Linked DNA regions of Astyanax mexicanus. The protein of the gene in region 1 purifies or fractionates together with the protein of each later gene. This does not show direct contact. Links are inferred from orthologs where the notes say so. Each region holds a gene or a part of one and is shown in the gene's direction. Other genes may lie near its edges. The genes, in order: histone-lysine N-methyltransferase EHMT2-like, znf644b, dnmt1 and cbx5.

Region 1 (7,615 bases):
GTGTATGACGTCATAAACCGCTGCCTGTCGACTGATGAGGCGGTACGAATTCTAACAAATGTGGATGTAAGTAAAGTGAGCTCACTGCAACCAGCGCATCCCCAGTCTGGAGAGCTTTACTTGTACAAATATCAAAAAGGTCAGGGAAATAGAGGTCAAGACTGGACACCGGAGAATGCCCTGTGGATCAACTTGGGTACAAGGAATGTTCCTCACCCTAGAGGTTACCTGACAGTGAGATACTTTGTTGCTCGAGGAGAAGGTCAAGAGATTAGAAGGCGGATATATGAGATGTCTGAAGATGTTGGACCGTACATGTTGGTACATTACTTAGGTGAGAATTCACGATTACGGAGACCTCGTAGACACATCCAGTTTGGCCAACAGATGTTTGCACAAACCACGCCTCAAGAGGAACTCAAGAAAGTCGAAGAGGAGCTGGATATTTCTGATGTTTCTGAAGTGCAGAAGATCACAGAAAACACTCCTGTCAACAGCAAACCACTTGCAGAAACCTTGATGTCAGCGAGCATGGAGCAAAATCCAAACACTGGCGAAGAGTCAGGCAACTTTCTCAACCCCAAAGACATAATGGCGACTCAAATGATGTGCAGGGAGCTGAAGGACTTCGTTGTTCATATGAGTGTTTACCCAGATGTGATTATCGTCGCTGCATTGCCCGAGATGACCGAGCAGTTCCAAGTGATGCTGAAGAATTCAGATCCATGCGTAACGCATATCCTCTACTACAACAGCACATTTAACCTGGAGAACTTCTACGTGACGCCTCTTCTTTTTTGCCACAATGATTTTGAGGAGAGCCCAACTTTTCCGTTAGCTTTCCACATTCACCAGTGCCAGAAAGAGAGAGCTCACACCATATTTCTAGAGGAACTTCTATGTCTTCTGCCAGATCTGAACTCCAATCGATTTGTGATTTGCACTGATTGCGAGGCTGTCGTTGAGAACTCTGTCAAAAATGTCTTACCCAACGCTTCTGCATTCAACAGCTTCCGTCAAGTTCTGTACCATCTGAGATACAAAGTGATGTTTTGTGAAGAGGATGACATTGAGGACAATGTGCAAGGGTACATGAACAATTTGAGGAGTCTTATTTGTTCGGAAACTGAAGAACAATGGAGGGTTAAACTTGGTTACTTTTCTGTTACCTGGAGCACTGCCTTCCTTGAGTACTTCCAGATGCACCTGGAGGCCCTGACAAAAAGGTCTGCCAGGTTTACCCTCAAAGCACTTGGCCTACCAGAAGATGAAAAGATCACTAGTACTTTTCAAGAACTCAGTATGATGCTGATACAGATGAGGCATAGGAAACTCAGACTGGAAACGACTGTATTCACGACATTCCAGATCTCGATGTACTTCCTAAACGAAGTCTTGAGAAGCAGTTGCAACATGGGGCCCTACAAACCCACTCCCGCAAGCTCCAGAAGTGCTACCGACATGGATGATGTTGACTTCCCAGAGTTTGTTATGACCCCGAAAGAGATTGTCCACTTCTTTAAGAACAGTTTGGCTGATGACAGTGACACCATGCCAGAGCAGGAGGCATCAGGAGGGTACGACCTGGCATCAATGCGACCAATGGCAGAACTGATCATTGAGAAGAACAAAATAAGTCTTGAGCCCAGCATAAAGTCGTTCTTTGTAACGGGGTGGAGGGGCCAGAAATACGTTGTTAAAGTCTACCCAGAAGAACGATGCTCTTGCTTCTTGGCTCACCACTGCTGCCACATACTGGCGGCACGTACGGCTATCGGATTAGAGAAGGAAAAGAAGGAAAAACCTTCCTTCAGATTATGGAAAATGTGTCGGACGGCTGAAACAACACCATCGGGGGAAAAGGGAACCAGTGTTGTACCTCTGAAGGAGGTCAAGTTCACACAGTGTTTCCCAGACGCTTGTGGTGGCGACGCTCACAATAAGGTGAGGTTAAAGATGGCACTGTACACGATGATCTACACCCATTTCCATGAACCCAGTCCTGTTCAAACTAATCTGATTATGCCTCTGAAAATTCATGCTTTCTGTTTTTCCAGAATTACCTGATCCTAGAGGACTCCAGTTCTAGCAGTGAATCTGAGGAAGCTAACGAAGACTCTGAATAAAACCTTCCCATCACAGCTGGTCTACTTTTGTTCTGAAACCAAAGTCTTATTTTGTTATTCAGCTAAAAAGCAAGCCTAAGTTGTATTTTATTCTCTAAATAATGTGGTCTAATTTTGTTAGCATGTCTAATTAATAGTTGTTAGCCCATGTTTAATTTCATTTTTCAGCCAATGAGCTAGTCTGATTTTGTTATTTAGCCAATAAGCTAGTCTTATTTTGTTAATCAGCCAATAAGCTGGTCGGATTTTGTTATTTAGCAAAAAGCTAGTCTGATTTTGTTATTCAGCCAATAGGCTGCTCTGATGTTCTTATTCAGCCAATACGATAGTCTGATTTTGTTATTCAGTCTATAAGCTCCCCAGTTTTTGTTATTTGGCCAATAAGCTATGATTTTGTTATTTAGCAAAAAACTGGTCTGATTTTGTTTTTCAGCCAATAGGCTGGTCTGATTTTGTTATTTAGCCAATAAGCTGCTTTGATTTTGTTATTCAGCCAATAAGCTGGTCTGATTTTGTTATTCAGCCAATAAGCTAGTCTGATTTTGTTAATCAGCTAATGCATTGGTCTGAATCTTGTTATGAGCCAATGAGCTTTTTTGTGTTACGCCAGTGTCTGATTTTGCTACTTAGCCAATAAGCTAGTCTAATTTTGATATTAAAGCCAATGAGCTTACTTGCTTGTTTGTTTTTTCAGCAAATAAACTAGTCTGATTATGTTATTCAATAAATAGGCAATTGGCTAGATTGATTTTGTTTTTTAGCCAATAAGATGGTCTGATTTTGTTATTTACAATGAATTAGTCTGATTTTGTTATTGAACCAAGGAGCTGGACTGAATTTTTAGATTTTTGTTACTCAGACAATGTCTGATTTCGTTAGTTAGCAAATAAACTACCCTGTTGCTTGAACGTTAGGTGAACATTGCTTAAATGTTAAGTGAGCATTAGTTAAACCGTGCTTGAATGTTAGGTGCGTGTTAGTTGAATATTTCTTGAATGTTAGGTGAGCACTATTTAAACCTGATTAAATATTAAGTAATTGTTAGTTGAACATTGTGTAAATGTTAAGTGAGCGTTAGTGTTACTTGAATGTTAAGTGAGCACTTTTTAAACCTGATTAAATATTAAGTAATTGTTAGTTAAACATTGTGTAAATGTTAAGTGAGCGTTAGTCAGACGTTGCCTAAATGTTAAGTGAGCGTTAGACGTTGCCTAAATGTTAAGTGAACGTTAGTTAGACGTTGCCTAAATGTAAAGTGAGCATTAGTTAAACCTTGCTTGAATGTTAGGTGCGTGTTAGTTGAATATTTCTTGAATGTTAGGTGAGCACTATTTAAACCTGATTAAATATTAAGTAATTGTTAGTTAAACATTGCGTAAATGTTAAGTGAGCGTTAGTTAGACGTTGCCTAAATGTTAAGCAAGCGTTAGTGTTACTTGAATGTTAAGTGAGCACTTTTTAAACCTGATTAAATATTAAGTAATTGTTAGTTAAACATTGTGTAAATGTTAAGTGAGCGTTAGTCAGACGTTGCCTAAATGTTAAGTGAGCGTTAGACGTTGCCTAAATGTTAAGTGAACGTTAGTTAGACGTTGCCTAAATGTAAAGTGAGCATTAGTTAAACCTTGCTTGAATGTTAGGTGCGTGTTAGTTGAATATTTCTTGAATGTTAGGTGAGCACTATTTAAACCTGATTAAATATTAAGTAATTGTTAGTTAAACATTGCGTAAATGTTAAGCGAGCGTTAGTTAGACGTTGCCTAAATGTTAAGCAAGCGTTAGTGTTACTTGAATGTTAAGTGAGCACTTTTTAAACCTGATTAAATATTAAGTAATTGTTAGTTAAACATTGTGTAAATGTTAAGTGAGCGTTAGTCAGACGTTGCCTAAATGTTAAGTGAGCGTTAGACGTTGCCTAAATGTTAAGTGAACGTTAGTTAGACGTTGCCTAAATGTAAAGTGAGCATTAGTTAAACCTTGCTTGAATGTTAGGTGCGTGTTAGTTGAATATTTCTTGAATGTTAGGTGAGCACTATTTAAACCTGATTAAATATTAAGTAATTGTTAGTTAAACATTGCGTAAATGTTAAGTGAGCGTTAGTTAGACGTTGCCTAAATGTTAAGCAAGCGTTAGTAAGTGTTACTTGAATTTTTTTTTTAACCTGATTAAATATTTTTTGAACCTGATAAAATATTAAGTAATTGTTAGTTGAACATTGCTTGAATGTTAGGTGAACGTTTGTTAAACGTTGATTGAATGTCAGGTGAGTGTTAGGTGAACGTTGCTTGAATGTCAGGTGAGCACTATTTAAACATGAATGAAGCGATTGCTAATTGAAGGTTAGTTAAACGTTGCTTGAATGTTAGTTAAATGTTCAGCTAATGTTCAGCTAACTGTCTCAGTCTGTGGGAGTCGCGGCGGGTAAGTAAACGGTTTGCGAAAGGGGACTTTTATTTTGAAGGCGCGTTTCTCCTGTAGCCATTTTGAACGGAGCCCCGCTCCGGTGTGTTTTTATCTCTTTACTGTTTGAGTTTTTCTGTGTTTAATAAAGAAAAGCTGCAGAGAGAGAGAGAGACATGGAGGAGGTGAGTTCAGATTAACAGCAGATTAAAGATTGATTTAACCAGTTTAACTGAGTGTGAGCGGATTAATCCCGGGTTTAGAGGATAAATAATGATCTACAGCTCTTTATCTTTATTATTAATCACACACTGATTTATACACTGATAAATACACAACATTATACTTATTAACACTGTAGCTGGGGGTAAATATGTGTTTATAGTGTTTTTATAGGTATATAAACTGTGAACACTGTGTTATTACTGCAGTCTGGTAGATAATCTAATAATACAGCAGTGAATAGAGCATTCAGTTACCTACTGTTATTATTCATTATAACATTATGACATGTATTTATGTGAAACTCATAATATTATATAGATGTATTAAACAGAGTGGTCTATTTTAAGAGTTTATTTATTTTATTGTTGATGATTATGGCTTACAGCCAATGAAAACCCAAAATAAGACCAATTGTACTTTTGGCAGTGTGGGCAGTGTGCCAAATCCTGCTGGAAAATGAAATCTGCATCTCTATAAAAGTTGTTTTCAGCAGAGGGAAGCTGTAAGATATGAAGTGCTGTAAGATTTTGTGGGAAAACAAAACTGCACTGACTTTAGACTTGATAATAAAACACAGTGGATCAACACCAGCAGATGACAGACATGCCTCTCCAAACCACCACTGATCATCAGTAAATTTTACATTTCATTTAAAGTAAATCAAGGTATCAGAGTCTGGAGGAAGAGTGGAGAGACACACAGTCCAAACTGCTCGAGGTCTAGTGTGAAGTTTCCACCAATCAGTGATGGTTTGGAGAGTCATGTCTGATATCTGCTGGTGTTGATCCACTGTGTTTTATTATCAAGTCTAAAGTCAAAATCTTACAGCACTTCATGCTGAACCTCTTCTGACAACGTTTAAAACCAGCCTAATTTAAAAAATAATGTTGGAAAGTACCTGTAAAGGTCTGTAATGTGATTTATTCTGTTGTTTTATTGTCCAGAGTCCATCTGAGAGCCGACCAGCGCACTCCAAACCCTCAGGTGATGCTCCTCTCCTTCATACACACTCTAACCTACGTGTTCCTTAGAAGTAATGAAATACACCAGTCCTGCTTAAATTTTAATAAACACTTTCTAACCTTTAAAAAAAAGCTCTTTTATTGTGGTAAACGCGTCTCACTGAGAAGTACTGCTTAGGCCAGTCAGCTCTCCACTCTGCTCCGCCCCTAAACCCATACATCACCAAGTGCTCCTCCCAAACTACTCTTCACATTATTTTTTTAACCTGTTTTCAAATTTGATCTTAGGGTGGAGTCAGCTAAAATCAGAGGGGAAGATACGATAAGAAAATTTGTTTCTCTGATTTTGCTATTTATAGGTTTATGTTTGAGTAAAATGAACATTGTTGTTTTATTCTATAAACTACAGACAACATTTCTCCCAAATTCCAAATAAAAATATTCTCATTTAGAGCATTTATTTTATAGAAAATGAGAAATGTCTGAAATAACAAAAAAAAAAAGATACAGAGCTTTCAGACCTTAAATAATGCAAAGAAAACAAGTTCATATTCATAAAGTTTTAAGAGTTCAGAAATCAATATTTGGTGGAATAACCCTGGTGGTTTTTAATCTCAGTTTTCATGCATCTTGGCATCATGTTCTCCTCCACCAGTCTTACACACTGCTTTTGGATAACTTTATGCTGCTTTACTCCTGGTGCAAAAATTCAAGCAGTTCAGTTTGGTGGTTTGATGGTTTGTGATCATCCATCTTCCTCTTGATTATATTCCAGAGGTTTTTAATTTGGTAAAATTTAAAGAAACACATGTTAAGGAGTCTGTCTCACCAAATTTGTCTCTTCTTACTTTCTACACATTAAACTAAAGTCTCTCAATAAAAGTTGGTTTCCTGACTTATCTTAATTTACCTTTATCTTTAAAGAGAGTCTAAAGGAGAAGGAGAAAGATGGGGGGAGCAGTGAGAACACAGCGACGTCCAGCTTCACCAAACCATATACAGGTAAACCTGCAGTTAACACGCAAGCTCTGCTGTGTCCAATCAAATTACACCACCATGATCATGTGACCGCTGATCTCTCTCTCTCTCTCTCTCTCTCTCTCAGGTCATGCTGCTAAGTCCGCTCCTCCCTCGTCTCCGTCTGCATCCTCCGGTCGAGCGAAGATGAGTGTATGTGGGCCGGGCAGTAAAAACCCCTCCTCCTCCTCCTCCTCTTCCTCTCTTTCTTCATCCTCCTCTTCCTCAGCCCCACCCCCTAAAGTCCACCGCGCCCGCAAGACCATGAACAGACCCCCCATCACACAGGTGACCATTAGCAATTACATATTACTGTTATAACAGTGACTGAATTATTTTTAGGTAATGTGTCATTTATAGCAGGAACTGAATTATGTCTATTAGATGCTAAATCATACGTAGCAGATACTGAATCATTTGTATTAGGTGCAGAATTATATAAGGTAGTTACTGAATCATCTTGTAGTAGATACTGAATAATTTATAGTAGATACAGAATTAAATATATATATATATATTTATATATATATATATTTATAGTAGAATTAAATATATATATCATTTAAGGTAGATACTGAATCACTTGTGTTGGGTACAAAATAATATATGGTAGTTACTGAATCATTTATACAGCTAACTGAATCATATTGTAGTAGATACCGAATCATTTATACAGCTAACTGAATCATATTGTAGTAGATACTGAATCATTTATACAGCTAACTGAATCATATTGTAGTAGATACTGAATCATTTGTGTTGGGTACATAATTATACATATGGTAGCGACTGAATCATTTGTAGGATTTACTGAGTCATTTTTGTAGTAGATACTGAATTATTTGTGTTGGGTACAGAATGATATATATGGAAATGACTGAATC
Region 2 (7,444 bases), on another chromosome or scaffold:
GGATGGGTTTTAAGTGGGTTTGTACCTGTGTTGTTACTGGGACCCAATTGGGATTCCCAAGTGAGTGGGCCCATAATTGCCGCCCACTTTAATGTCACATGGGTGTGCATTTATACTTAGGGTCTACATGGAATCTGTGGACAAAAAAATGGTTTCGACATGGTTTAACCATAGAAGCCTCGAATGGCCATGTTATCCAGTTAGCTAGTTAAATGCCACGCTAGCTAGCTGTGTCAAGAAGGCAATCATTGGGTTAGCTCTTACTCTTTGTTAATGTTTTTTTTGTCATGTTACTCTCCTATGTTAGCAAAAGCAGGATAAACTCTTGTAAAACCCTTGATTTTGGAAGTAACAATGAAAAGCAATAAATAGGTGTTGCAATACTTTTGTCCATATGATGTAGTCAGCTAGTTTAATGCAATGCTTGCATGTTGTGATAAAGGGGGGAAAAGTTTGCTCCTGATCTCTGCAAATCGGGGTTTGTTACATTTTTATTTATATCACTTACCCCTGGCACCTACTTTTGGGATTATTTGGGGACTAGATGCCATCAAATCCTCATAGCAATGCTCCAGAATCTAGTAGAAAGCCTACACTGGACAGCGGAGACAGCTATTCCAACAAAGACAGGATAAACTCTTTTGCAATGCCCTTGATTTTGGAAGAAGCAATGAAATGCAAGGAACAGGTCTCAAAACTTCTGTCCATATGGTGTAGTTAGGTAGCTAGTTGAATGCAGTGCTTGCTAGTTGCAATGAAGGAGGAAAAGTTGGGATTTGCTCCTGATCTCTGCAAGTCAGCTCACTTCCAAGCAGGGTTTGTCATGCTTTTTATCACTCTCTCACTCTTTCTCACTCTTTTTTCCTCCCCCCTGGAAGTTGACGCTTTATCTGCTCTTTTACAAGGCTCGTGTCAGGATCTAGCCAAAGCGTTGTCAATCAGCAGCTAAGGCAAGCCCCCCGTTTCCCCGTGTCAGCAGCAGAAGTAGCAGCAGAAGCCCCAGCCCTGCCTTGCCTGCCTTGCCTGCCTGCCTGTCTCCCCCTGCACCCGGCTCGAGCTCAGCTTTGACACTTCAAGCACGGGCAGACGTGCAGCAACTCTCTCTAACAATCATCATCTCTCCGTCTCGCCTCATGTTATCTTCATGCGAGCATTTGTAACTGCAAACACGAGCTCCTGCAACTCCATCACCTCTGTTTTTTATCAATTGCACGCTTTCCTTGTTGAGCGTTTTTAACAAGTGACACGATACTTTTATAGCCAGCCTGGAACACCCCCCACCATCACCATCACCGCAACCCACTAAAAAAAGGCAAGAGAATAAAAATAAAACGAGCTTGTACTAGTCCCGTGTGGAAGCTTGTCAGGAAAAGCCACATTTAGAGAGGTTCAGCAGGCCTGCAGTAACCTGACTGCAGCTCTCACTTCACTTCCAGGCCCCGTAGGGGGTCAAAGCCCAGATGGTGCGGCCCTGCAAGGTGCCCTTCGGCCCACGGTGCAAATAATAAGCAGGAAACACTGATCAGGTTTCTCTTATGGTTAGTTTCTGTCACCCTTAGTGTTTGTAGGCGAAAGCCACTAATTATCCCAGTGTTTTCTCAAGCTGAGCGTCTTGGCTGCTGAAGAGGTTTCGTTTTCAGCTTGTTTTCTTTTCTGTTTGGCTCATTTTCGAACTTGTTGTGAAGTGTGCCTTCGTAACACATGCACAAAAGTGTTCTTTAGATCCTGTGGAAACATAAAACTTCTCTGCCAAACTCACCACAGGTGACTGATTCAGTTTGACACCTCTTTTTTGTGTTGTTTTTACACCTCATCTTTTTTTCTGTTGTTTTACACCTGCATTGGCATTACCATATTAAAGGGCCCTTATTATTAGGAATGTGCCGATCAGTTAAGTTCGCTCTCTGATCTGATCTGATCTGTCTCTGTATGTGGAGTATGATCTTTGTGTTTTTTATAAATATACAGATAAGTATGTTTTTAGTTACTGTTTGTATAATTATACACTCAGGACTTATTTATTTAGTTTAGTGGTGACTAGTAGTGGCTGTTGTATAATGTGTTTAATATTTTATTATCCAGTGTACTGACCGACTAGCATCCAGCTGTAGTGAAAGTCACTTTGTATGTGTGTGAGTGTGTGTAGTAGTATCTGTTGTTGTTTGTTGACTACTGATGTGTAATAACTGTTTTATAGTGGCTAAATGTGCTATGGTTTGGGTTTTAAAGTGTGTGTGTGTTAGCATTAGCATTAGCCTTTACTCTCTTCTGTTGAAAGCACTCTTCAGTGGTGGTTTAAAAACAAAGGAAGGCTTGTAGTCCTGGAATGGGGAGCGATTACTCATTCTGACTTTTTGATAAAGTGCATTGTAAATGTAAATTTTAAAGTTAAAGGGACAGAATAAACAAATATCAATTTAAATATTTTTCTGTTTTTGTTTTAAACATTGTTACTTTTATTGTAGAGTTAGAAAAGGCTTTAAAAACTATTAAAAAAAAGTTAAAGACTTCTTTTCTGCGAGTGTATCCATATACAGTATCTCACAAAAGTGAATACACTCATTTTATTGTACCTTTTCGTGGGACAACACTGAAGATATGACACTTTCATAAAATAGTCAGTGTAAATTTACATGTGTAACCAGTTTAAGTAAATTGTAAATTGGTGTGCCCTCAAAATAACTCAAAACACAGCCAAATTAGCCGTTTTCCCTCATGGCAAAGGATTCTCTGAGGATCTGAATAAAGAATTGTTGCTATAAGATGATTGCCAACACCCTGAAACTGAGTGGCAGCACGGTGGCCAAGACTATACAGCGGTTTAATAGGACAGGTTTCTTTAACGATTAGTTGGCGTAAATGACAACGCCGACTGTAAAACATTGTCTATAAACAATTTACTGCAAGATTGGTCTTAGGGCCTAACTGTTTGGCTCTCCTCACCAGTAGGAAGTAAAAATGGAGGGCATGACAAAAAATAATTGCGACTAATCGACTAATCATAAAAAATAATCGGCAGATTAGCTGACTGCTAAAATAGTCATTAGTTGCAGCCCTAGGTGTTTGTTGAGTTATTTTGAGGAGACAGCAAATTTAAAGTGGGTGTACTCTCTTTGTGAGATTCTGTACGTATCTGAATTTAACTTTGAGCATAAATGCAGGCACACATTGGCTTGTAGCTTCATTTGGTGATGTAGTTTAAATGGCTATGCAGGAGGATTATAATTTGAAAATGATTGAAGTGATTTTTGCAATTTTATGAGAAAAAAATGTATTGCTTGCACCAGAGATACAGAAAAGCTGTTATTGTTGTTATTATTGGCACCAATATATGTAGGAGCAATGTCCTGTAGAAATAGCACAGAAAAAGTTCAGCCGCATCTCCAGACCTATACCCAGATTGAAAATATGTGGATTGATGTTTGGTGTGCTATCAACACTCCACCCTTTCCGCTATGCATACATTTTGAACCTTCAACGTTTGATTATTGCAGGACACCAGTAGGAACCTCTACAACTCCATACAGATATATCTGTCATATTGCTACCTTTTTTTTAATAAGAGCACAAACCACTACCATTTGGTAGGTGTAAGGTAATTACTATATATTACATCAGGAAAATATTGGACTATAGGTTGAGGCTCCATAACTCTACCATGTACTTATTGTACATTATAACTTGATATGTTATATAATTTAGGTTCTTAGGGATTGAATTTTAACCAAAGCTTTTCATTTCCACATTGTACAGCTGAGCAACACATATGCGACTGTGGAGAGAGAAAAAAAAAAACACTAAAGAAAACTACTTAAACAGCTGCCACTGGGGTCACTCGCCTCCTACAGAATAGAGAAACTATCACCAGTGCATTGCAGGCCTACACAACAGAGTGCACATTGTCACCATCATCTAAACAGAAACCTCTATAAAACAGTCAGTGAATCTCTGGCCTTGTAAACGTTTATTGAACAGATGATAATAGTTACCAACGTGAAAGTGAAAAGGTTTAAAATAAAAAAAAAAGAAGAAATTTGAAAAATATGGTGTAATGCAGGCATTTGTGTGAAATGTCTATTTGATGGCAGAGCACAATTCAATGAATTTAGAAGTACAGGACAATGCTTTTGAATAATACATTTATCTTTCTTATGAAATATAATGTGGATCAATCATATTTAATTGAATCAACCTACCAGTGAAATGTTCCGTTACCAAAGCATGATCCATCCACCACCATGCATAACAGAGCAGTGGTGTTTTCATTAAATTTGCCATTTTTCTCTGAACATCACAGATAGGAATCAAATATTTTGCCCCTGGGCTCCATGTTGGCCCTACATATTGATGTCCACCAAAATCAGTATTGGGAGCAGCAGGGGTTAATACACTGGGTTGTGCTCTGGGACTGGGTTGTGCGTAAGGATGGGCCCATATGTGTTGACCGACTCAGTCCCAACACATGTACAAATCCACTCAGAGCCACTGCACACCTGGAACACACCAAGCCCATGTTCCCTATGTAGCTCATGAGCTCACCTGAGCATGTTGGTTGGGATACGTTTGGAGCATTACTGTAAGGATTTGGTTGGCTTGAGTGATGAGGGCTTAAGAGTTAGTAAGGTCAGGATGTTGGAAGATCACCACTCCCGCTCACAAACTTACTTACTTCTCCTCTCATTCAAAAGTATTGGATGAAGCACCATCCATAGTTCCAGGGAACACAGTTTCACTGCTCCACAGCTTAATGCTGGGGGCTTTATACCCCTCTACACACTTAAAAAGAAAGATACAAAGGTATTAAAGGTACACTTTTCATAATTGTACCCTCAATAATATATATATAGGTATAATATTGGTCTTTACAGGTCAAATGTGTTCACTTTGTGTTAGTGTGTTAACACCTCTAACACACTTACTACTTCTAACCTCATTTCCTTCCTCCCCTCCTTCACTCCTCTATCCTATTATTTCCCTTTGACCTCCTTTAGGCCCTATCTAAAGATGTTTTCACCTTTAACTTCTATTACTTTTGTACTTCACTATTGTAAGTCGCTTTGGACAAAAGCGTCTGACAAATGTAATGTAATGTACTTTGAAGTACAGATTTGTACCATTTATCCAGCCAAAAGCTGCATTTTGTATTCTGCATCCAGTACTAATAAACAATATACAGCTCTGGAAAAAAATGAGAGACCACTTAAAAATGATGAGTTTCTTTGATTTTACCAAATTGAAAACCTCTGGAAAATAATTTTGAGGAAGACGGATGATCACAAGCTCACATGCTTAAATGTTTGCCCCAGGAGTGGCATAAAGTTATTCAAAAGCAGTGCGTTAGACTGGTGGAGGAGAACATGCCAAGATGCATGAAAACTTTAATTAAAAAACAGATTATTTCACCAAATATTGATTTCTGAACTCTTAAAACTTTATAAATATGAACTTGTTTTCTTTGCATTATTTGAGGTCTGAAAGCTCTGCATCTTTTTTGTTATTTCGGACATTTTCTGCAAACAAATGCTCTGAATGACTATGTTTTTATTAAGAATTTGGTAGAAATGTTGTCTGTAGTTTATAGAATAAAACAAAATTTTACTCAAACATTTACTTATATTCAGACACTGAAGTGGTCCCATTTTTCCCCCCAAAACTGTATATTTTAATTATACATTTTTCATTTGAAAGCCAGACAATTTTGGATCATCAAGTTCTTGACACACATTAATTTGGTGATAATAGTTTATAATCATTATAATCTGAACTGGTGCAAAAACATGGGTACAAAAAAAAGACTTTCACTGAAAGGTACTCTGTTGTACCACAATATATGGCATGTGGCATTATTTTGCCTTCTAGGCAAGCTGTATGGGCACATTTTCACACCTGTTTACAAGCTGAAAGCATTGATTAAAAGGGGTGACCAGAAAACTTATGGATAAATAGTGAGGATTCCCTACATTTAAGGCAAGGAGAACGCTGTGTGAATGAGAATAATTCTGTTTCTGTGTTTTAACAGAAACAAACCGTTTAGGAGATCTCCAGGTGAAGGTTTGGCGACTGCTGTGTTAGACTGGATGGCACACTGCAGGGCACCAGGGCAGAAGGTAGTCATGACATGTTTGTTATGATTGCATGTGGCACAGCTGGGATTTTAAGCTGAATGCTGGCATTAGAGAACATTTTTTTGACTGATAAGGATTGCTTTTACCAGCCATGCCCTCTGGGCCACAATGTAATATTTTTTTTTATCAGAGGCAGTAGTTTTGCATCAAAGACTTGAACTTTCCTCAGCTCGTTTTCCCCGCTCTGCTGACAGGTGCTCCAGTCCTTACCTGTTTTTCAGGCTCCGTTCTTGCACACTCCGAGCTTGTAAAATTGAGTACAGACAGCCTGTCAGTCGCCATTAGCCTGATTCCAATCCAGGCAGCGGGAGACAAGTTCCTGGATGGTGAGCTCATTTTGCCCAAATTTCTGAGACAAATTTTCAGGCTTGCACTGTTGTAGGCCTCAGGAGATCTCAATCCACCAGGAGCTATACCTGGAAGATTTGAACAAACTTTATTTCCAGTCTTATTGGACCATAAACCGAGCTAGGCAGTGTAATATATCTTATTTTAAGAATGGACCCTGGATTATTTAATTAAAAGGCCACATATTATATATATTTATTTTTTTCTTTTATCAGTGTCTCTATGCATCAAAACCAGCCTCTGTTCATTTGTATATGAACATTTTCATTTTCCATTTATAGCTTTGAGTCAAGCAGTTATTTGCTTCTTAAAGCACATGAAAAAAATGCAGAGGAAAGCATGAAGAAATTGTCTTTTAAAGGATTGGTGTCTTGACAACCTTATTTATATATTCGATTTAACTTTTTTATACACTTTCAAATCAGACTCTTTAGAGCAGAGGTGTCCTGTATAGAACTTGTGTTCTCAGTGTTGACTATTTAATGGAGTTCAGTCATTTATTAAAAGTAAATCCTCTCTTCCAAAACAACACTGACCTATAGCCATGAATAGGAAGACTCTAAGACTCTAAATATAGTGACAGGCACAACCAATCAGAAACTCTATTACACACTTAAAATCCTTTTAATTTCTCAAATATCGACAGTGCACTTTATAATTAGATTGGACTGTAGTCTGCATGTTTGTCGTGTTAAAAAAAGCTCGTGGAATAAAGCGCTAGCTGATAGCACCCTGGGTTACTGAAACACTCAGGGTTCCTCAGTGTGGTGATATCTGGTGGCATTTATGTCCTGCTAGCACTGCGATTAGTGGCTAATGCTAATGCTGCTGCACCCAGCCTTAGAGCTGGAGAAACTTCACTGAAAACTCACCCTTATCGTGGCTTACTGTAAATAAATGGAAGCAATTTACTTACCCAAATACACGATTGCCATTAATCTGTGTAGATTAACATCCAGCGCTTGTTTGAC
Region 3 (7,636 bases), on another chromosome or scaffold:
CGTTTAAAAATGTTCAATACTGATAAGATACTTTTTAAATTTGATATTGATACCAAAACAATACTTGTTTTGATACATTTTTCTTAATTGTACCAAGAAAAATACAAAAAGATGATCATACTCGCACAACATATTTATTTAACAGCTAACATGAGAGGCTTGATCTTGTTGGATCTTGTTGGAACAAAAACAAAAAATGGGCATGTTTGTGGTGCTTAATTAACCCTTTTAAAACCTACATCCATTACAATGGGTATTTTTTTTCTTTCATTTTAAGGTTTTGTTTTGCACATAAAACTATTTGAGAGCTGTTGTCCATCAGAATAGACTATAAACCAGCCATTTAACAAGTTTATAAACCAATGAAACAGTAACTTGGCCCCGCCCACCGTACTGGAAAAACAGGAGTACTAGAGCGATTGAGGCAAAGTAACAGCTCATTTTTACTAATCCTAATTTAATCAGGTTTTTACTCATTTGTTTTTTTTATGAAATAAAAAGGTCAATATGAAGTATAAAATATTACACATATTGTTATAATCATTACTCATTTTTTAAATACTGGTATTTGCCTGTATTATTGTGAGGGGACAGTAATAAAAGTATAGTGTGGTTTGTGGTATGCCAGACTAAAAAACACCTGTCTCTACGGCAATGTTTAGAAAGTAGTTTGCAAATTTGGACTGCATATCAAAATAAATCAACCCCAATGTCTCTCACTCTCACACACACACACACACACACTCTCTCTCTCTCTCTCTCTCTCTCACACACACACACACACACACTGCCACAGCTGCTGCTCTAAGATATTAATATAAAAGCATCAAAACTACCCGAGATATTTTAACAAATAAAAAATAAGGCTCTATTCCGATAGGCCTACACCACACCACACTACACTATTAATTTTGTCTCCTCCCAACAATAAAGGATTTTATGATTAATCACAGACTTTTTTGTGATTTATATACATTTTTTATTTAATTTTAATATTAAATGCTTCAGACTTAATCACAAAAACATTGCTTTGATTAATCAGATTTTTTTTCGTAGATTGACACCAGTAAATTTGATGCATTATCAGGTATCTTTAATTTGCCTTTAGATATTGTGACATAATACTTTTATTTTATTACCCAGCTCTATTTTATCCTATTGTATTGTATTGTATATCAACATATGAGTCTTTAGTTAAATCACCCAGCTCTATTTCATCATATTGTATCGTATCGTATATCAACATATGAGTTTTTAGCTAAATCACCCAGCTCTATTTCATCATATTGTATATCGATATTTGAGTTTTTAGTCATATTACCCTGCTCTGTCTGGTATCAAGAAAGCTATTGTTATGCCCCAACCCGAGGGAACTTCCTCTGCCTAATTTAAAAGACAGCTTACCTGGAAAAACCAAATAGGCAGAGTGAAGCAAAACATGCACCGACACAGCAAAGAACAGACTCGCTAGGACATGACCAGATTTGAAAAGTGGTGCGGCCTACAACCATTAGCTCAGATTGTTGACAGGGCAGTGTTGCTTTGCCAGTTGCAAGGGCATGTGGGAGTGTTGTGGAGCAACAGTGTGGGGGTGATATGAGGTAAGAGGAGGATGAGAGCCAATGGGAAGGGAACAGCATCATGGGAAGGCCTTGTTTCTCTTTCTGACCTCTGGACGCCAGACCTCAGGAGGAGTTCTTGGCTCAGGAGGAGCGTCCGGGCCTCGGAGGAGTGAGGGTGAGTAAGCTTCTGAGGACGGTCTGGTCTGGTTGCTGTCAGACGTCCAGAATTCCTGGGTGGGAACATGCACCAGGGCCCTGGGAGACCATACCGCTGGAAGCACAGCCAACAGCTGTCAGCAGGAAGTGACATCAGGCCTGATAAACCACAGAAGAACAGCTGCAAACTCATGTAGCTGTAAGCTGGCAGTCTAGATCTTTTACATCTCTTTTTACTCTCCCATAACCTCCTGCCCCACCCAACTGCACACATGTGTCTGCAGCAGGCCCTGCTAAAACTCCTCTCAAACAGTGCCATCTCGTGGTCAGCATGATGGACAGATGTTGGGAGACAGAAGAGATAGAAGACTGGGGAGTTCGGCAAAATGAGTCTACAGTTCCCTCTGCTGGACTGGCTGAATAGTGTATAATACAATTGCTGGCAGATCTTTAAACCAGCATGGTTGCAACAATACAAGCAAACTAATCAATTGCCAAGGGCCAAAGCTGGCCTGGAGTCCCCAGACAATGACGGCTTATGAATTAAATGCAACGACAAACTATTTAAACCCTTTAAAGTATGTGATGATCAATGCCGGAAAGTACAATGACACTGTTATTAGAAATCCCCTCCCACTTGTGGCTGACAGTAGCCTATCAGCCAGGTTAGTCATTCCTGCAGCCGGCAACCTCAGCAGTCATAAATCCAGAAAAGAAAGTATCTCTAAAGCAAGACTTTTACTTCAACTTTTACTTTAAATTTTACCTCAGGTGTCTCTAGTCTAAAGTTTGGAAATTGGATTTAAATCCAATTGTTTTTATTATTTTAAAATGTTCCGCATTATAGATTAACACTAAAATCCTCAAAACTATGAAGAAAAACATAAAAATTAGTTCACAGCTAACAGCTGTCCCTTGTCAAGTGTTAATAACTAACTGTTAATATTTTCTTGCTCTATTAATGTGTTCGAGAGCATCAGTTGTAAAGTTGTGAGCAATCTTCTAATCCATTTTACGTCAAGAACTACTCAACTAAGTAAAGAAATATAGTACTTTAAGAAATGAAGGTCAGTTAATCAAAAAAAGGAAAGAAACTGGCACTCATCTGGACCACACCAGTAAAAGAAAGAGCACGAATTGCCTCTGTTTTACAGGATTAGCTTTCCTAAATGCTTCTTCACAGAGGATTTTGGTTTGTTTAACACTTATTTTAAGTTATTACATGATTCCTTATGTGTTCCTTCATAGTTTGAATGACTTTTGAGTTTGAAGTACTAATTTGTAATTTGTAATATATATATATATATATATATTCAGTTCAGATATCAGGCAGATATGCCTTCCTGCCTTTAAACCATACAGACAGCATTTCCACACTTCAGACACACACACACACACAGAGATCTACAGTCCAGCTGCAGGATGCAGTATTCAGCAGGGAGAATCTCCCGCCTTTGTTGAGATTCAAGTCATGTAGGACCAGAGCTGGTTTATGAAGAGACTACACACTTTCTGTTTCTCTTTTAAATCAGAAAATTACTTTACACCGCTAGAGGGAGCCCGCGAGGGAGTCTTCAATGAATGGGATAAATGGAGCTAAACGGCTTCTAAACACAAATTAACAATAGTAACTTCTAGTCCAGGATATTATTTTAATTTTAGAAAGCATAATTAAGTATTGTACTAAAACAATAAAGAAAACCTACATATACCTTTCCATTTTTCTATAATAGACTATTTTTGGACAACAAATTCGCTAGCATTACTGCTACTCTGTGCTGATTGGTTGGTGGAGAGCCGATGCTGAAGACACAGCCAGAGCTGTTTTATGGAGGTTCATAACTATACTTTTTCTAAGTACTTAGTACTTAAATGCTGTATCTGTATCTACTGAAGTATTTTTATTTTTTTCACCTACCTCCACTTTTACTTCACTACTATGATTTTAATATTATTTTTATATTAATTTTATATTATTTTTTTATCTGCTGCATCGTTGCTCGTTACAAATATAAAAATGTTAGGAATCATTTCAAACGTACATTGCAATTTGGGTGCCCAATTAATCCTACAATCTTACAATATAGAAATGTAACAGTGTAGAAATGGCTCTTCAAGAATTTAATGTCACTTTAAAATCGTTTGGTTTTCTGTTTTCATAGGACTCTTTAGTGGTCATTTTGTGTGTGTGTTTTTAAACACAAAAAAATAAAACCTCTTTAATTGTAAACCTTTGGAATTTAATCAAGCGGAAGATGAATGATCACAAGCCATCAAACCAAGCTGAATTGCTTGGCGTTTTGCACCAGGAGTGGCATAAAGTTATCCAAAAGCAGTGTGTAAGACTGGTGGAGGAGAACATGTCAAGATGCATTAAAACTGTGATTAAAAAACAGGGTTGTTATTTCGGCCATTTCTCATTTTCTGTAATTAAATGCTATAAATGACAATATTTTATAATAATATAAACTAAATAAAATAAAATAATATGTTAATTTTAGTCAAACATATACCTATAAATAGCAATATCAGAGAAACTGATAATATTTCTCAGAGCTAAATATATATAGGTATATAAAGGTATCTCAACCTGTGCACGTTTTCCATTGGGCAGTCTCTCATCTGTAGAGTTTCTCCAGTAGGACCACCTACCTTACATGAAAAACGGACGAAACCATATCGTCATGATTGATTAAGGGGTGTTTAGATTATGGATGGTTTAAGGACGGGATATCAGCGGGGGTCGTTTATCATTTTATTGTACATAAATGTAAATGTTTTATTAGTGTATTATGTGAGTTTGGTGCGTTTTATTCGCCTTTTAGTTAAGTTTAAATGTAATGGACGTATTCTCTCTATCTGCAGGCACCCTATTTTTCCTGTGGATGGTTAAGTCCGAGTCTTTCCGCGGGAAAGCGGCCCGCGCACATTCGCATCTGCTGGGAAACCTTAAAAAGCCCCAGTGTCCCCTTGCGGCGATCCGCTGCTGCTGCTCTTCCTGCTGCTGCTTGTTTTAAACATTGGCGCTTTTAATTGTTCACTGTGTTTTTGTTGTTTTTAACGTATTCGCTGTTTTATCCGCTTTTATTCTCACTTGAAATGCCTGCGAAGACCTCGCTGTCTCTGCCGGAGGATGTGAAGGAACGGTACGGTAAACCCTAACCTCACCTGGGCTTTAGTTAGTTAGTTAGTTAGCTAGCGTTACCTAACCTTGCTAACTACCTTTAATTTGCTGTACATCTATATTAAAACGTTAAAACACGCACACAGCTAACCTAGCTAGCAGCTCAACCCCCCAACAACAGACTGGAGCCTGCAGTGTAGCACAGCAGCCACAGCAGGCTCTAGTCTGTTGTTCGGGGTTTGAGCTGCTAGCTAGGTTAGCTGTGTGTGTGTGTTTTTTTAATAAAGATTAAAAGCTTAAATATCGTTAGAAACGTGGCTCTAACTACTGTTAATGAGGCGGGTTAGGTTAGCTAGCGCTGTGGCTCTCCGCCAAAGCACTGCAGCCAATTCTGTGACTGATAACTAGAGTTAGCATGCTAGGCTAAGCTAACCCGTCAGGCAGTTGTTTTGGTCTCCCCTCCGCGCGCCCGCTCGCGCTAGCTCGCTGTCACCGGGCAGCCTGAATTTGGCGCCAAATGATGGCTGCTGCTGCTGTTCCTGGCCTGACCGTGTCAAACCATATCTTATAACTAAAGTGTGTGAAAAGTATGATATGTCAGACATAAATTTATATTTTGACTGCAATTCGTTTGAATAGGGTGTTTCAGAGCTGGGAAGCTCCCAAAACATGATGCTTGTGTTCTACCTGTATTACGTTGCCCAAAGGCAGCAAGTGAAAACATTCATTTACTAAGGTTACCATGAGAATATGTAAGAATATGAATAATAAGATATAATTATTTTACATATTTCTTATACACATACAAAAAAACTATTCCTTGAGAAAAAAAAAACATGTTTAATCTCCCTCTCTGTATATACATCTCTGAAAAGTAGAAACTGTATTAGGGTTGTGTCACATGACACTAAAATAATAGCTAAATATTTAATGTTATTTTTACTCTAACAATACTCCCAGCAATATGACAAGACTCAATAAAAAATATATTTTAAGAATACTCTCCAACCAAATAATGATTTAATTTGTTGTTGCATACAATATGATGTGGCACTCTACCAACTGAAATTAAAAATACAATAATTTTATCAGATTTGTATCTGAAGTCAGTGATTCAGAATATCTTCATATATCCTGGACTGAAGTAAAGTGAATGATACTGGACAGATTATCTGTGTCTAGTAGATCTATCATGGGGAATTTAGAACAGTGTGAAACAAATCTCCTTTTTTCTATGTGCTCTGAAGAGCTAATTAGTTTATAATGTGGCATATACTTTGGGTAAAGAGATATTTGGTATAGATCTGTCCAAACTCTTTTTTTGGTACTGTACATTAGTAAACATGGGTTTGCCACTCTGTTATGGCATGTGTTGCTGTATTGTCAGTTAGCTAATACTGTTGTGTAGGGGTTTTAATTTTTCCCTGTATGTCTGAATAATCACCTGAAACTTTATTAAAATCAATTATGCATGGCCGAAGTAAAGTCTGTTTATTTATTTTGGCCAAAACATTCCCTCTGCTGTTTGATTAGCTTTAAATAATCCTTTATCCATCCCACAGTGGGAAAATTTACAATGTTCCATCAGGATAGAAGTATCAGAAAATGTAGAGACTATCTATCAATCAATTAATACAAAAAATTCAAAACAAATCGTGAGGGGAAAATTTAAGACTCGTTGTTCCCCAGTATGTGTATTTTGGTGAATGCAGTGACCAGTGATTCTGCATAAACAGATTATGCTACACATGGTGAATAGGGGTATTACACGTAGTAAGAAGTAATGGCTAAACAGGTTTTATTGCACACAGTATTAATAAATAACTAGTAATCTTCAGTTTATCAAGAGTAGTATGTTATATACTCTGACAGTGTCCTGGAGAAAGAATCTTTCTGTAACTGTCTTATTTATTTATTTTTCTTGGTTAGTTGTTTATTTTTAGTATAAACCCAGATCTTAAACTCTTAAGCTATGTGGTGGAATATTCATGTTTTGATTGTGTACAGCTGTTTAGGTAAATACAGGACAATTACTGGCTATTAGTTGAACACCCAGACTAGCCTGTTGCCTATCGTTCTCTAAAATACATAAGCTCCATGCATTTACTTATTGTTTCATTAAATTAAGCCCTCTTCTGATGTAATTTCTGATCTTCCTTTGTAGCTGTGGTCCAATCAGCAACACTGCAACTTCTGTTCCATTTGTACATTTTAGCAGTAGTGACACCTGAGTGACATGTACTGTAGTTAACATTTAAGGTTCTACAGTGCACGGTTTATTTCTTTTAGCCATGTTCAAATCATCCGTTACCTGCCTGATAACCAGTCTTACAGGGAAAACTGTTAGCAGTGATGACCGTTAATAAGGTTGATGAAGCAGACATTTTAGCAAGGGAAGCAAGAAACCAGGACCTTTCTTGGAACTATGTCCCAATTACAGATGCCTACTATACTCACTCCACAAAATAAACTGTATGAAATATCACCAATCATAAATAGAAAATGCAATATGGACTTCCTTAATAGACAAGAACAGTCAGTGATGACTAGGTGCCGAATTGGACATACTGCTCTTACCCACCGTCACCTCCTGGTTGGCGAACGGACTCCAGCCTGCCAGTTCTGTGATACTCCTCTAACAATTAAACATATCTAAGTAGACTGCCCTGCACTTTTGACCACCAGAAAGGACTTTTATAGGGTTACAAACGTGAGAGAACTGTTTGAAACTATTCCACCAGCTAAAATACTTAATTTTCTGGAAGTCCTTCATATGAAGACACTAATTTAAGAC
Region 4 (7,008 bases), on another chromosome or scaffold:
TGGATGAAAAAAGTAAACTTATTCAGATATTGAATTGTTGTTTTCGTTATAGTACTGCAATATAAACAGATATATCGAATTGTAAAGTATCGTATTGTTAAATTTGCCAATACACCACCCAGCGCTACAGTAAAATTGCAATCTAAATAAACTAGATTTAAGTAAACTAAACAATTAATTAGAAAACATGGGTAAATAGACTAGATTTAAATAGGAACACAGGGAAATAGCAGAAACATGAAATCCAGTAGTACATATGCAAATAAACCATAAAACCTGATAATTATAAGTATTCATCCTTAGCTGGTAAAAGGATTTAATTCAAAGCAGATTTAACACCTGTTTAATAACTGAAATTTGATTTAATTATATTTTGAGTTACTTTGCGTAGAATGAGTAATGTCTATTTACAGGAGCAACAGTTTTAGATCATTTCAGGTAAGAGTTAATTTTTTACCTCCTCCTCTCATGCTGGAATTCTGCATCTCCTGCCTGGAGAGAGCTTTCCTCACTTCAGAGTTGTGGCCGTTTATCGTGTGATATTTCTGAACTAAAGAAAAAGAAGAGAAATCATGATTAAATCAAAGCTTCAAGCAAACAAAAACCCTCATCCACCCAAACCGAACAGCACAATTTACACTTACTAACGATGCGATCTACTGAGTCGTGGTCTGAGAAGGTGACGAAGGCAAAGCCTCTTTTCTTTCCAGAGCCGCGGTCGACCATTATTTCAATAGCTTCGATCCTCCCGAACTGGTCGAAGTAGTCGCGGAGATGGGACTCCTCTGTATCTTCTTTGATGCCGCCCACAAATATCTTTTTTACGGTCATGTGTGCAAAGGGTTTGTTGGAGTCCTGGAACGCAACAGCCGTGCATTTAGAAACGTCTCAAGCCATGCACCCAAAAAGAAAAAAGGTAGATATATTTTGCAGATTTGTAGATACGTACCTCTCTGGACACGGCTCGTTTGGGCTCCACGAGTCTCCCGTCCACTTTGTGGGGGCGTGCGTTCATGGCAGCATCTACTTCTTCCACATTGGCGTAGGTGACGAACCCGAAGCCCCTGGACCTTTTGGAGTTCGGGTCTTTCATGACCTTTAAAATGTACACATACAGAAAGTGGTGTTTTAGTACAATTTTCAAACCAAATGCAAATAGGCATTTAGAAAGCGTATCCTTCTACAGGACTTATTATATTATTATATTTGGGCTATTAGTACAAAACTGGTGAGGTAAAACCAAGAGGAATTGTATAACAAATCACTATTACCCTCCTTATGTAGGCTATTACTCATACAGTATTGTTGGATTTTTTTTTTACAGCATATAATATAACTAATACTAGCAACCTGAGTTTTCACGGGCCCATTTTTACACTACTTTTGTCAATGATATTGTATGCGATATCACACCCCTAACTCAAGATTTATCAAATTTTAACAAAAGTCAAAACATGTCATGATACCAATTTACTCCAGACTAATATCTAGTACTGAAGAAAACCTATATGAGAAACGTGGGGAGAAAAGGTACTCTAACGACTAACATAGCCCTAAATACCATATATTCCAGGGTGCTTATGCGACAACTATTATAAAAAATAATCTGATATTGCACAAGATAATATGGCACACCATTACTGGCATTTTTTGTTTTATTTGAACCTTTTTTTTATACTATTTTTAAATGACCTGTTTGGTTAAGTTACTCATTTACAACGAAAGCCTGGCAAACAGCCGAAGCTACCTGAGAGAATGGCGAATCAAGAACAGACAATGGTAATAAATAGGCTAGATAATGAACAGTAAAATTTCGCAGTGTGGAAGAGAAACGCTCCAGAATAAAGGGAATAAATGAAACTCACCACACAGTCCGTCAGTGTTCCCCATTGTTCAAAATAGGCCCTCAGACTGTCGTCCGTCGTCTCGAAGCTCAGGCCTCCAATAAACAGCTTCCTGAGCTGCTCGGGACCTCGTGCTTTACTCTAACCCACAGAAAAGACACAAAAACAGACGTTTTAAAAAGCTCAAAAATTGTTTTAACACCATAAAACACTTGAAAAATACACGTTTACACAGCTACATAGTGTCAAAAACCTCGCCAATTACTCCAAGGCTATTCAAAAAGACAATTACTGACAAGGCCGCCATGTTAGCCAACCTAGCTAACAAGCTAACCTAGCTTAGCCACATGCTAACTAACAATGCGAGCCTACACGCCCCCTCCTTATCTACAATTAAATATATTATTTAATTAATACGATTAAAATTTCGATAAACATGTCTTATTAGCAACATTAAGCTACTAAATCTGCTCATTTAAAGCAGTGATTCAAAAATGAAAATCCCAAACAGAAGCTCAAAAGATATGGCGACCAGTGTTCTGCCAAATTGTGCAACCATGTCAAATCATGCTACACTTAAAAAAAAAGGTAGAAATATTGCTAACGTTACGTAGATTTGTTAACAACTCCAGACCCTGCATCTAATGCAAGATTACCTTTTTATTGTATATTGACAACACTACTTGATAGATGTTGTAAATTAGAACAGATAATGAACAAAATGTATAAACCAACAAAACTTGGCCCCGCCCACTGTACTGGGAAAGCAGTATAGAACCAGAGATATTGAAGCAAAATAAGTTAATTTTTTACTAATTTAATGATTTAGAACACATTTAAAATCACGTTATTTACTGTTGTGGTGGTTTAAGAAATCAATAATAAAAAAGTAAATCTACAACTACATACACACTACTACACAGGCTTCCCTGTGTGCTATTGAATTAAAATAAAAGATTAAAATATTTTGGATACTTGGCTGTATAAATTTAATTTTATAATCTTTTTTTCTTGCATTACAGACAAAAAAAAAACAGTAACCACATTTTTCCATTAATTGAGATTCATCAGGTCTAAAAAGGTTAATGCGGCCTAAACTAACGCTAGCTAAACAACAAGCTACGTAGTTAATCTAAAAAATGACCAAATTAGAATAAAGTGACGAATAAAAATGGCACATAAAGGCAAATTAAACTAGTTAGTCAGCGCAAGCGCACTGCTAGCAAGCAGCACATAACCGCCGGGTAACAAATTCCGACATAACACGAGCTAGCGGCAGCCCTTACACAAAAACAAAATGGCGGTAGCTACCCGCTAGCATTCGGCTAAATAAAGACAGCTAACCTTAGCCCATTGCCCTCCATTACAAATTATTACCCTGATCATTTAGCTCATAAACTCGATCCCCACATATATTAAACCCCATACACAACTCATAACCACATTAAACCCCGAATAAATGCGAAATAAACTGCTTAACTCACCTCGTTCGACATGTTGCACAGCAGCCCTCACCAAACTGCGCCACACACAATACGACGAAAACGCCGAGAAGGAGGAGAAAAAAAAAAACCCGGTCCATACCATATATCCACACCCCACCCACTTGTCCCGCCCCTGCGAGCTACGATTGGCTGAAAATTCCCGCCACGGTGCTACGCTTACGTTCTTTCATTTCGGATTGGCTTGGATCCGTGTCAATCTCGAGACTTCCACAGCGTAATATGCATATAGACAACTGCTCGGCAGCGAAGGCGTAAAACTGATTTGATTTAAAGACTCAATAAAATGTTATTCTGCTTTTATATTAAACGATTAACGTAGCCCACCTTTCATTTTCTTTTTTACAACAATTCACACGTATATATATGCACATATATCACATATATACGTCTGTGTTGTTCATTCAAAACCACACAGCTAGCTCGCTACAGTCATGGTTGCTTGCCACTCACTATACACGTTCCACATGTTTTAGCTATCTAAATTACATAATATCTAGCTAATATAGTAAATGTTTGTTTTTCTTAGACGATGGCTTTGTTGCACTAGTGACTGTGTTGAATTACTTGCTGCAGGTTTGCTTGTGTCTGCATCGTCTTGTGTGTGTGTGTGTATGTAGTCAGCTACCATTGTGTGTTTTTGGCGCGCTGCAGCTCGCGCACACACACACACGCAGACACACACATACATATCTAGTAGAGCTGGGGCTTCATACCTGCGAGCGAGAAGCGGTTTAACTACAAATCAAGCGCAGGAGAAGATAGATTTCTGTGAGTTTCATCCGATTTCGCTTGACATAATTAATAAGCTATATTTCTGCACGATTTTGACCGATCTGGGTGAAGTAGAGCTGCTGTTAAATTATGGAACAGGGCGATCAGCTTCGCTCGGTCCGTCGTTAAATCGGTTAGCTAGGAGAGTGTTTGCTAGCCGTGTCTCTGGTTAGTGGCTAATTTATATCATAATATGAATCATATTATACTTACTGCAATATATGTAGTGTTTTTGATGCTTAAATCGTGTGAGATTTGAGTCATTCCAGCGAAATAAGCAGTGTTTTAACGTTTTAAGCAGTAATTATGGTAAACTATTTGGATAGCCAACACTTGCTAAGCTAAAGCTAGGCGCCATGTTTTTTTTTTCGCAGCGCCGCAGCATTTTAGTTAGCGTTAGCTATCAGCTTGGTTTAATTTATGAACTCATCATTCTTTCACATTTTAATTTAAATAAATTATTTTTATATCACGTTTAGCTTTATATATCTTAACTACTGGCGTTTGGGTAGCTAGTTAGCTGTTGTTTTTGTAGAAGACACGATAAGTTATTGCGTTAGCTTAGCTTAGCTAGCTAACTTATAGGGTTAACCTGGCGTTAGCTAAGCTAGGTAGCTAACACTAGCTATCTTCCAAAACCCCGGCATTGTAGCTAACACTGGCTAAGCTGAATATATAGTTAACCTTGCATTTTTATGATGGAAATCGATATCGTGCATTATTTTTACGCCAAATTAAGCTTTTTTGGGCGTTTTAAGCACAAGGTTTCACCGTGTGTTCGTTTTAAGTATGCTGTCTAGCTAGCAAGGTTAACCTAGTTAGGCTAGCTTAGCTAAGCTATTGACAATGCCATTGGTATAGTGAGCTGCTGGCCTTAAAATGATCTTCGCAAAAATGTTTACTAACCAGATTTCAATCGTGTATATGTTTTAAACGTCCAGGAACCGGCATAATCAATCAAATATGCTTGTATACACGTTTTAAACCATATAACGACAGTAGCAAGCTGTTGTGCTAGCTGAGTTAGCAGCTCCGTGTTGCAGCCATTGGGTTTCAGTAGGTAACCTTATAGATGTAGGTTTGGTAGGTAACCTTGCTGTCTAAACCATTCAACTAACTATTTTATCTATTTATCTGTATAGTAATTATTAAAGTCGTGTACTTAAACGTTAATTTCTGTGTTTTCAGACTGAATGACAGGTAGTTGCTTACATTTGAAGGTAGCTAGCTTAGCTATCACCGATACTACATAAGTTACAGCTCTAGAAAAAATAAAGCAAGCACTTCAGTTTCTGAATCAGTTTCTCTGATTTTGCTATTTAAAGGTTTATGTTTGAGTAAAATGAACATTGTTGTTTTCTTCTATTATTATAGTAGTATTGCATACTACAGACAACATTTCTCCCAAAATACAAATATAAATATTGTTATTTAAAATGAGAAAATAGACCTCAAATAATTAAAAGAAAACCAACAAGTTCATATTCATAAAGTTTTAAGAGTTCAGAAATCAACATTTGGTGGAATAACCCTGTTTTTTTAATCACAGTTTTCATGCATCTTGGCATCATGTCCTCCTCCACCAGTCTTACACACTGCTTTTGGATAAATTTGGATAAAATCAAGCAGTTCAGCTGGAGATCATCCGTCTTCCACTTGATTATATTCCAGAGGGTTTCAATTTGGTAAAATCAAAGCAATCATTTTTATGTAGTCTCTTGTTTTTTCAGAGCTGTATATTAATGTATTTTTCATTCATTCTGTAAGTCAGGTAAAGTAAGTCAGGTGTGTTAAAGTGTCATTTTTAATACACTTGAAGTATACTCTAAATGTACTATACACGTACACCTATTCTGTGCACCTTAATGTCCCTATAAATGTTTTCTATCAACACAATGTTTAATTTAAAGCACTTCTAACTTCTCTGTTTTATATTCAGGGGAGGGCAGGCTGCCTGCTGTGGCTTTTCCTTAGTTTTGAGCCTGATCTGCAGTCCCAGAGAAAGGTAAGCACTAAAATATGTTGGCATTAGTGGCATCTGTATAGTATCACACAAGTTTACTGTTCTACTCTTCTTAAAAAATAACAACACTGTCCATTAAACAAAAAATAAATACATGTGTCAAAACACCTGAAAAACTATTTCAATTGATTACCTATTATTTCCATGTTATCTTAAGTCATCCCTATAACATTTCACTTTATGTGGATGGCAAAAACTTACTGAATATGAGATTTTAATTTCATTTAGAAAATACAGGACATTCACCACTTATCTCAGTACAAGTTGAAATTCACAAAAACACTAAATTTCATATACAGATATATTTATTCAGTAAAAGTAGCTGCTGTGACCCCTCAAAGACGCCTCGTTAGATTCTGTGCCATCTCTCACCTCCTTATTCTCATGTAAAATTGCACATTTACATGACATTGCACTTAACATTTTAAGGCAGTGGTTGATACTGTGAATTGACTTCATTTGATTGGTGATGTGAAACATTGCTCTTTTGTGTTTTTGTTTGCGGATCAGTTTAGCAGTATAACTTTAAATATACATCACAACATAGACAGAAGCAAAACTCATTTTCAGAGGAAATTGGTGAACATATCTGAAGTTTCTCTCAGTAATAATGACACCCGACACAATAGTCAATAAATTATATGCAGCATAATAATCAGAATTAAAGATACAACCATAAACAAGCTTTTATGAAATTCGTTCTGCAGTGCAGTTATTACTAATGTTATTCCAGTCAAAAAACTGCCTCAAGATTGGATTGGATTTATCCTTTCCTAACGATTGTTCTCTCTTTTTCTTTTCTCTCTATCTCTTTTTCATATCAGTAGCAGAGGGAACATTTTCCCCTTATTTGGCCAGGGAGAAT

Evidence for each region.
Region 2: the proteins of histone-lysine N-methyltransferase EHMT2-like (region 1) and znf644b purify together in Homo sapiens (affinity purification with mass spectrometry; 3 studies listed by BioGRID and IntAct, with this or other methods). This does not show direct contact. The link is inferred for Astyanax mexicanus from reciprocal best matches to the Homo sapiens genes EHMT2 and ZNF644.
Region 3: the proteins of histone-lysine N-methyltransferase EHMT2-like (region 1) and dnmt1 purify together in Homo sapiens (affinity purification with western blotting; 3 studies listed by BioGRID, with this or other methods). This does not show direct contact. The link is inferred for Astyanax mexicanus from reciprocal best matches to the Homo sapiens genes EHMT2 and DNMT1.
Region 4: the proteins of histone-lysine N-methyltransferase EHMT2-like (region 1) and cbx5 purify together in Homo sapiens (affinity purification with mass spectrometry; 3 studies listed by BioGRID and IntAct, with this or other methods). This does not show direct contact. The link is inferred for Astyanax mexicanus from reciprocal best matches to the Homo sapiens genes EHMT2 and CBX5.

What each region holds. Positions count from the first base shown.
Region 1 is NW_026040041.1:5,516,389-5,524,003, reverse strand, and holds the start of histone-lysine N-methyltransferase EHMT2-like, read left to right. Parts: upstream 1-4,607; 5' UTR 4,608-4,703; coding exon 4,704-4,712; intron 4,713-5,696; coding exon 5,697-5,736; intron 5,737-6,638; coding exon 6,639-6,716; intron 6,717-6,819; coding exon 6,820-7,019; intron 7,020-7,615. Other genes in the region: uncharacterized protein LOC111190472, read left to right, coding at 1-1,944, 2,058-2,126. UniProt on the Homo sapiens protein: Histone methyltransferase that specifically mono- and dimethylates 'Lys-9' of histone H3 (H3K9me1 and H3K9me2, respectively) in euchromatin.
Region 2 is NC_064412.1:51,070,069-51,077,512, reverse strand, and holds the start of znf644b (zinc finger protein 644), read left to right. Parts: upstream 1-4,425; coding exon 4,426-4,464; intron 4,465-6,072; coding exon 6,073-6,107; intron 6,108-7,444.
Region 3 is NC_064410.1:3,868,446-3,876,081, forward strand, and holds the start of dnmt1 (DNA (cytosine-5)-methyltransferase 1), read left to right. Parts: upstream 1-4,632; 5' UTR 4,633-4,817; coding exon 4,818-4,864; intron 4,865-7,636. UniProt on the Homo sapiens protein: Methylates CpG residues. Preferentially methylates hemimethylated DNA. Associates with DNA replication sites in S phase maintaining the methylation pattern in the newly synthesized strand, that is essential for epigenetic inheritance.
Region 4 is NC_064420.1:885,807-892,814, forward strand, and holds the start of cbx5 (chromobox protein homolog 5), read left to right. Parts: upstream 1-3,994; 5' UTR 3,995-4,117; intron 4,118-6,059; 5' UTR 6,060-6,125; intron 6,126-6,967; 5' UTR 6,968-7,008. Other genes in the region: hnrnpa1b (heterogeneous nuclear ribonucleoprotein A1b), read right to left, coding at 458-550, 645-855, 950-1,096, 1,866-1,985, 3,329-3,340. UniProt on the Homo sapiens protein: Component of heterochromatin that recognizes and binds histone H3 tails methylated at 'Lys-9' (H3K9me), leading to epigenetic repression. In contrast, it is excluded from chromatin when 'Tyr-41' of histone H3 is phosphorylated (H3Y41ph).